Linked DNA regions of Danio rerio. The protein of the gene in region 1 purifies or fractionates together with the protein of each later gene. This does not show direct contact. Links are inferred from orthologs where the notes say so. Each region holds a gene or a part of one and is shown in the gene's direction. Other genes may lie near its edges.

Region 1 (3,657 bases):
CAGGTAATTTGTAAGAGTTGTCGCAGAATTGTTGCCACAGAACGAGGAAATACAACCAGCACCTAAAAAAAGTACCACGGGCATCTATATGAGAAGCGTCTTGCTAAAAAGTCAACTAAAATTACGGTCAATGATACACAATCTAGTATCAAGCTAAGTACAATTTTAGAGTTGTTTGCTAATATAAGTTGCTATCTTTTCAGTTCCTTTTTTTTTTTTTAACTAAGGGCATACAAACTCTATGTACAGTTGCCTTGAACCGAGCCGAAGCACACTCATCTCCCCCTCCCGTTTCCCCCGACGGCCCGCACTCGCATCACATTCGGGCCTGAGCATGCGTACGTCATGGATAATGCTCTGTTCAGTTAAAGAAGCGCTCTCGCTCAGCACAGTGGAGATTTCTTTATATCGTTATATCATTTTAGTTGTTTAATATGCAGTGACACGCAGTCAAATATTTTGCTGAACAGATCAGCCACTTTTGACACTCATAAATGATCATAAAATCCTAGTGCTGCAGGAATTAGGAGGTTTGCAGAAGGTGCAGTGAGGGGCTTGCGTCTTTAATAATCTATGACAGTTTGCGTTCATTGAACAGTAAGAATGATTAATAAATCCATATGAAACAGTCCCTTAAACTCGCGTCTGGTCTTCAGTTTCGGGTTCAGTCATGTTTTGCACTCACACTACAGGCGTACCGGGCCTGAGCCCAAGTGAACCGCGCTCTGTCACACCTCTTCCAGCAGGGCCAGGGCTGGCCAAGTGAACCAAGCCTGAACCCGATTCAGAGCACTTACACTTCCCAAACGATCAGAGAAACGGGCCTGGTCATGGTTCAGATAGCATAGTTTGTGTACGGCCTAACACTCACTGCATTTTAGCAGCAAGAAGCTATGATACAGATTATTAAGCTGAAGCTTGACTACAAAATAAATAACAAATCAAATTCAAATCGCAATATCTGTAAAAAAAAAATGGCAATTAGATAATTGCACAGCCCTAGTACGAATCCAGAAAATAGATTATCAATTTCATGATTTTAATACTGCATCATTTCAAACGTGTTTTTAGTATATAAATTATTTGAATGCATGGAAAATTGATTTGGATACAATAGTGGTGGTTATGCCAATATGGTGGTACTAATGATAATTGTGTATCCACAGGTTCTTGTAAACAGTAACAGGCTGTCAGAGCGTGTTGTGGTGATTCCTGGGAAAGTGGAGGAAGTGTCTTTACCTGAGCAGGTGGACATTATCATATCCGAACCCATGGGCTACATGCTGTTCAATGAAAGGATGCTGGAGAGTTACCTACACGCCAAGAAATTCCTCAAGCCCAGTGGTGAGTGAAAAAAGTCTTATTCAAAAACACTGACATATACAAACATCTGTACATATTACACCTCTGCTCTCTTCACAGGCAAAATGTTTCCCACCATTGGAGACGTTCACCTCGCTCCGTTCACAGATGAGCAGCTTTACATGGAGCAGTTTACAAAGGCCAATTTTTGGTGAGCTTTCTTAAAGAGGACATGGACACTGGGTGGGGAGAGAGAGAGGGAGAGAGTAAAGAACAGCATGTACGACAAGAAGTGTGTGCAAATAAGTGTGTCATCATACCGGTAGCAGATTTCAAATGATAGACAAAAAGTGTAGATAAACAGTGATTTAAGACTGTTGAGGATGACAACTCAGGATGATTTACTTAATGTTTCCTCTTGAAAAACAGAATTTTCTTGTTTTTCAGGTACCAGCCGTCTTTTCACGGAGTGGATTTGTCTGCGCTGAGAGGAGCTGCAGTAGATGAATACTTCAGACAGCCTATTGTGGTGAGAAATGGGAGGGAATGACTAGCAGATTGGGTGTGTGCTAGTTAAAGGACATGCTGGCTTTTTAGACTTGGCTACAGTTTGGAAAGTTGGTAAGGCAGGAGGCCATAAAACACACGAGCTTGTGTTTGTGCCTTCAGGGGAAAGATTACCCTGATAAATAGTGTGTGAAGTATGAAGGTAACTGGAGATTTGCCTCCACACCAGTTATAGATAAGCAGTGAGCATTGGGGGGGGGGGGGTAAATACGGACAGGATTGAGTTTCATACTTAAGCTCAAATGAGAAGGGAGGATGTTTCTAGGAAGAGGAGAAAGCCAGTTTGCTTCATGGATTAGCAAAATAGATTCAGTGGTGGTTGTATATAGGAGACTGAAGTGAAGTATGTGAGCTCGCCTTTATGTGCGTGATGAAAGGCTTTACTTTGTGGTCAGGGTTTCCGAACTTACTGTTTTTGTATGGTCGGTGGGAATGCAATGAATTTTCGCCCATCTAGAAGAGTATATAAAAGCATATCTTTGTATGTACAGAAAGTCCACGTGTAATTTTGCTTCAGGGGTCGTTGGTGTAAGAGTTGCTGTTTCCTCTTGAGAAGCCAATTATTGCAAGTTGTCGACTGTGCTTTTTGTGTGAATTTTATTTTGCAGATTTTCTTAAATAGTTTACAGGTGGGCTGGGTGATGAAACTGTAATGATAATTAACTAAATGTTCCATGATTAAACAATTGCATGTTCAATATGTTTGGTCTAATTTAATATGCTTTAAAGCAGAATTACTTGTGTGAGTGTTTAGCTTTGTTTTACATGCGGATATGTCTCGTATTGATCGTGCAAACATTAAAGGGCAGCACTTTGAATTTGAAAATGTTTATATTATTTAGTTTAAAGGAATATGAAATGGCACTGATGAACAGGAGAAACACTATGCCATAAACGATTGATTTACCATGGATTTAACATGCTAGTATTTACGGCGCTATGCCATTGTGGCAGGGTTGAGAGATATGATTTGTTATATTGTTAATGTAGGGAACTATTACACTGTTTTCTGTTTATTATTGTATTTACATTGGAGTTTTTCATGTAATTATTACATAAACCAGAGTTTCTGTTTGTATCCTGTTTGCCATGATAGTTTTTTTTTTTTTTGTCATATTCCCCAGTTTTTATTTCAATATGTCCCAGTTGTAGTTTCCAGTCTGTTTGTGTGCTGTATGCCCAGCATTAGTCAGCTGTTCAGGCATTTTCAGTGCCTGTAACGGTGTTATACTGCTGGGACAGTGACCTGCCGCGGTCTGGCTCTAGATGGCGCTGTTGTAGCGTCTTTCAGAGTTCAGCTGGAGGCAGGAGAGCCCTCTGAGCTAGGACTGAGTCTGCTTCGCTGTGGCTCAGCCCTTGACAGGAGGCCTCACAGAACGTCGTTGTGTTTGATTTGACCCACTTCCTGATCCAGATTCAGGGCTGAAGGTTATTCTGCCTGCTCTCATTTATCCTCTGATTTCTTTCAGGACACTTTTGATATCAGGATCCTGATGGCTAAATCTGTCAAATACACAGTCAACTTTTTAGAAGCTAAAGAAGAGGATCTTTACAAGTACGTTTACACCCAAAATCCGATTTACCTTGCAGCCTTTTTAAGATGTGTAGTATAAGATACACTCTCCACTTTTTGTTGTTTTCTTGTCCTTTCCAGGATAGAAATCCCCTTCAAATTCCACATGATGCATTCAGGGCTTGTACATGGGCTGGCATTCTGGTTTGATGTTGCATTCATAGGATCAGTGTAAGTTACAAACCTGCTATTATGACCCGTTACCACTGAGTGGT
Region 2 (3,657 bases), on another chromosome or scaffold:
TTTTTTTTTTTTCCACCATTCATAGTATTTACTCTGATGTATATATTACAATTTTGAGTTTAAAACTATTTGATAGTTACAAAACTAAAATGAAGCAACAAATTATTTATTTGATAGCTGGAGAAGAATATTTGAACCTATCAGTTTACAATATACTGATGCCCTGTTTTTCTAGGTTTTATTGGTGATAATGGTCAGAAATGTTGGAGCATTATTGCCTTTTTAGCATATAATTTGAGGAGAGATGGGAAGGAACGAAGTACAAATACTTTGTTACTGTACTTAAGTAGATTTTTCTGGTATCAGTGCTTTATTCTCTACTTATTTTTTGACAACTTTTTACTTTAATTTCTGACATGTTTACACAAAGATCTGTGATTTCTACTCCTTACATTTTTAAAACCACGGTCAATACTTTTGTTTTCATGCGTTTGGTGGCTTGATCTATTTTATTTCTTATCATTGCGTGATAATACGAGCGCCTTTTTGATGCAAGCAGTCTATTTTTCCTCTTTGCGCGCCTATGTGCTACTGTGCACGGCTATCGTTCACCGTACGTGGGCTAGTTTATTAAGATTACTATAAGAAAGACAAGTTTCATGAGGTGCATGCCCAGTCAGCAGAAGTCTATTACGCAGCACCAGGCGAAAGTATAAATCAGCCTTCAGATAAAATTTTCCAGCGTTTTCTCAGTACATTCTGTGATCCCCTCAGGTGCATGCTAAATGGGTCATTGACACCGATGCTTTCAACGAGTGGATGAATGAGGAAGATTATGAAGTAGATGAGAACAAGAAGCCTGTGAGTTTCCGCCAGCGGATCTTCCCAGGGGAAGATGTGGTAAGAGACTCAAATACATGAGTGCTAAAAAAAAAATAGATATAGTAGATTTTTGTTGTGTTGTCAGGCCAGATGTGTGAGGTCCTGGCAGGGTTTGTTCTGTCATTGTCTGTGTGTGTCTGTCAATCATCCTCTACAGCTCTTCCTTGCTACCTCACCCTCACCCGCCCACCCACCCAAAAATCCCCTCAGCACCCCTCCCCCCTTGTGTGTAAAACCGTTCCATTCTCTCATTCTCTCGCTCTTTCTCTCATCCTTCACCCCGCCGTGGTTCTGATCAGTCTTCCCGTACACCCGATCGTAAGGAACGCAAGTCCCTGGTTGCTGGCAAGAAGAGGAGACGCTCTCCATCTCCACCTAGCACCCCTGTGGAGTCGCGCAAGAAGGGCAAGAAAGGGTAATGATCATGCTGGAGTCACCTAAATGTGCAAATATGAAATTGCTATAACTTAAAAATGAGTGAAAATATACAGTACTGTGCAAAAGTCTTAGGCCCCCAGGTAAATTAGATATTTTAGTGAGGGTATGATGGCATTATATATTGCTTCTCATTCTTTTTATTAAAATACACCCATATAGACAAATAGGGGAAAGAAGTTAGAGAAAGATGGAAGACTGAATGAAAAATAGCATTCTGTAGAGTTTCTGTCTTGGTTGGATCTGCATTTCTGCCAGAGCTGTTGTCAATAATGCCTGAATTGGCATTGTGAATGCTGAAAAGTGCAGACAGGTTTTAATTTCAGGTTGTCATGTAATTCCTAAATAGAAAGCACATCATTTGTTATAGTTTTATTTTTCAGCATGATAACGATCCCAAGTTAAATCATATTTGGAGAGAAAGATAGCTGATAAACAAAGACAGTTATGAAATGGCACTCTAGACCCGAATGTTATATACAGTATGTGTAGGCAGTGTGAGATTCAGATAGGACATTCTAAATCTAAAGAAGAACTCTTAAAACACTGAGAGATGCTTTATTAAATAGCACATCATTTTAGAAGACACAGCAAACAAGTTAAAAGAGCTAAAGAGGTCACATTAAACTGACTTTTTATGCTAGTCTTGATTCCAAAAGTAATTTTGTTTTGAATATATTGTCTATATACATAAACGTATATAAAAAAAATTGTATTTCTGCTTAAAACTGTAATTTATTCATTTTGAACAACATATTTAATATTGTAACAATATGAAAATCTTTTCTGAAACATTTAACTATTGCATCCCTGCTTAATAAAAGCAATTTCATAAACAAAAAGTTTAGTTCACAATTTAGGCTGCAGCGTGGTCTAATTTGTGAATTTTTGTCTAAAAGGAATCCTGGAAGTCAGTGGAGGCGGCGTGGACAACCAATTGATGACGAACAGGATGAAGATTCAACAAAGGACCTTGAAGATCCCTCTCCTGTGCCGGGAATGGAGGAAGTTACATTGCCAAAAAATGGTCAGAGCTCTTGATTTGTAACTTCACAACACTTAAGACAGTTTTACACTCTGTGGAACAGTCTCTTTGGTTCACTTTCCGTTTGCTCGGTTTGCTTTTTCACTGCGGTTTAGCACAAAGTGCATGGGGTTATAGACATGCTTGTAGTTGTGCCATGACTTGTCGTCATTCCTACTTTGCTACTTGGTTAATAACAGTGAATTAAGCATTTTCATTTGCATGCAACTCTCATTTAAAATGATGGCTATTTATTTAATTCTAGTAGGTTTGTGTCACAATGTTTTGATAATGTTTGATAATTATTTACTATTGTCTAGGAGCTAGTGACTTCTCTCTAACCAATCACTGATCTGCAGTGTTTACACATTATGTTTTAGAATAGGTAATAGTCAATTGCAACCTTAACTAGTGTGTTACCAAAAAGAGACACAACCCTAAAGTTATCCATACCATGCAGTGCAAAAGCACTATTTACCTTGGATTACCTAAAATGCCATTTAAACTAGTGTATTCTCATTTTAAAACACGTTTTATGCTCCAGCCCACAAAAGTGTTTTGAAAATGCAGAAGACCCCGTTTTAGTTCTGGCTTTCAGTGTTGGAAAACTGATGTGGACTTTTGAAAATGGAGGCACAGCTATCCACAGTTTCTGTCTGACTCGTCTCAACGTATCCAGTGTTTTCCAACCAGGTTCCTGGAGGCACACCAACAGTACATAATTTAGATGTCTCTCTCATCTGACAATTCATTTCAGGTTTTGGTGGCTCTTTTAATGATGTGATGAATTGATTTAGATGTGTTTGGTTGGGAAAAGTTTGAAAATGTGGACTGCTGGTGTGCCTTTAAGAACAGGGTTGGGAAACACCGTTCTAGACTATTAGCTGTCATTCCCTGATTTGACCATTACATGAATGATATATTACCTATATATGTCAGCAAGATGTGTGTATGGCTAGTTAGAAAACAATATTGGAAGAAAATGACTTTTTTTAATAAATAATTTTATTTTGTGATTAATAATTAAAATTTCACAAGATGACTTAAGTAACTATTTGAAAATAATGCATCATTTATTGATTGATTGGGATGAGTTTGTAGGGAAGTGCATCTGCATGAAATTTACAAAACTATCCAGAAATATACGAAATAAAAATCTAATTAAAGCACATTTGTATTAATTAGTTAGTCAATGAATTAATTAAGACTATTGCAGGTTTGCACATTGCATCATCGATGCTGGAATGATTAGGGATACACTGATACCATTTTTTGGAACCGATCCAGATACCAAAATTCTGAGTATCTAATGATAAAGATCTGATCCCGATACTGTCATTTTTAAATGGATTTTTTAAAGCATAATACAGTTTCTA

What was found. Proteins that work in one complex are often made in the same cells at the same time.
Region 2: the proteins of carm1 (region 1) and smarcc1a purify together in Homo sapiens (affinity purification with western blotting; 3 studies listed by BioGRID and IntAct, with this or other methods). This does not show direct contact. The link is inferred for Danio rerio from reciprocal best matches to the Homo sapiens genes CARM1 and SMARCC1.

What each region holds. Positions count from the first base shown.
Region 1 is NC_133178.1:33,009,375-33,013,031, forward strand, and holds part of carm1 (histone-arginine methyltransferase CARM1), read left to right. Parts: intron 1-1,166; coding exon 1,167-1,344; intron 1,345-1,422; coding exon 1,423-1,513; intron 1,514-1,749; coding exon 1,750-1,831; intron 1,832-3,047; exon of another isoform or gene 3,048-3,245; intron 3,246-3,338; coding exon 3,339-3,424; intron 3,425-3,523; coding exon 3,524-3,613; intron 3,614-3,657. UniProt on the Homo sapiens protein: Methylates (mono- and asymmetric dimethylation) the guanidino nitrogens of arginyl residues in several proteins involved in DNA packaging, transcription regulation, pre-mRNA splicing, and mRNA stability.
Region 2 is NC_133191.1:46,877,822-46,881,478, reverse strand, and holds part of smarcc1a (SWI/SNF complex subunit SMARCC1), read left to right. Parts: intron 1-714; coding exon 715-840; intron 841-1,121; coding exon 1,122-1,237; intron 1,238-2,156; coding exon 2,157-2,284; exon of another isoform or gene 2,285-2,364; intron 2,365-3,657. UniProt on the Homo sapiens protein: Involved in transcriptional activation and repression of select genes by chromatin remodeling (alteration of DNA-nucleosome topology).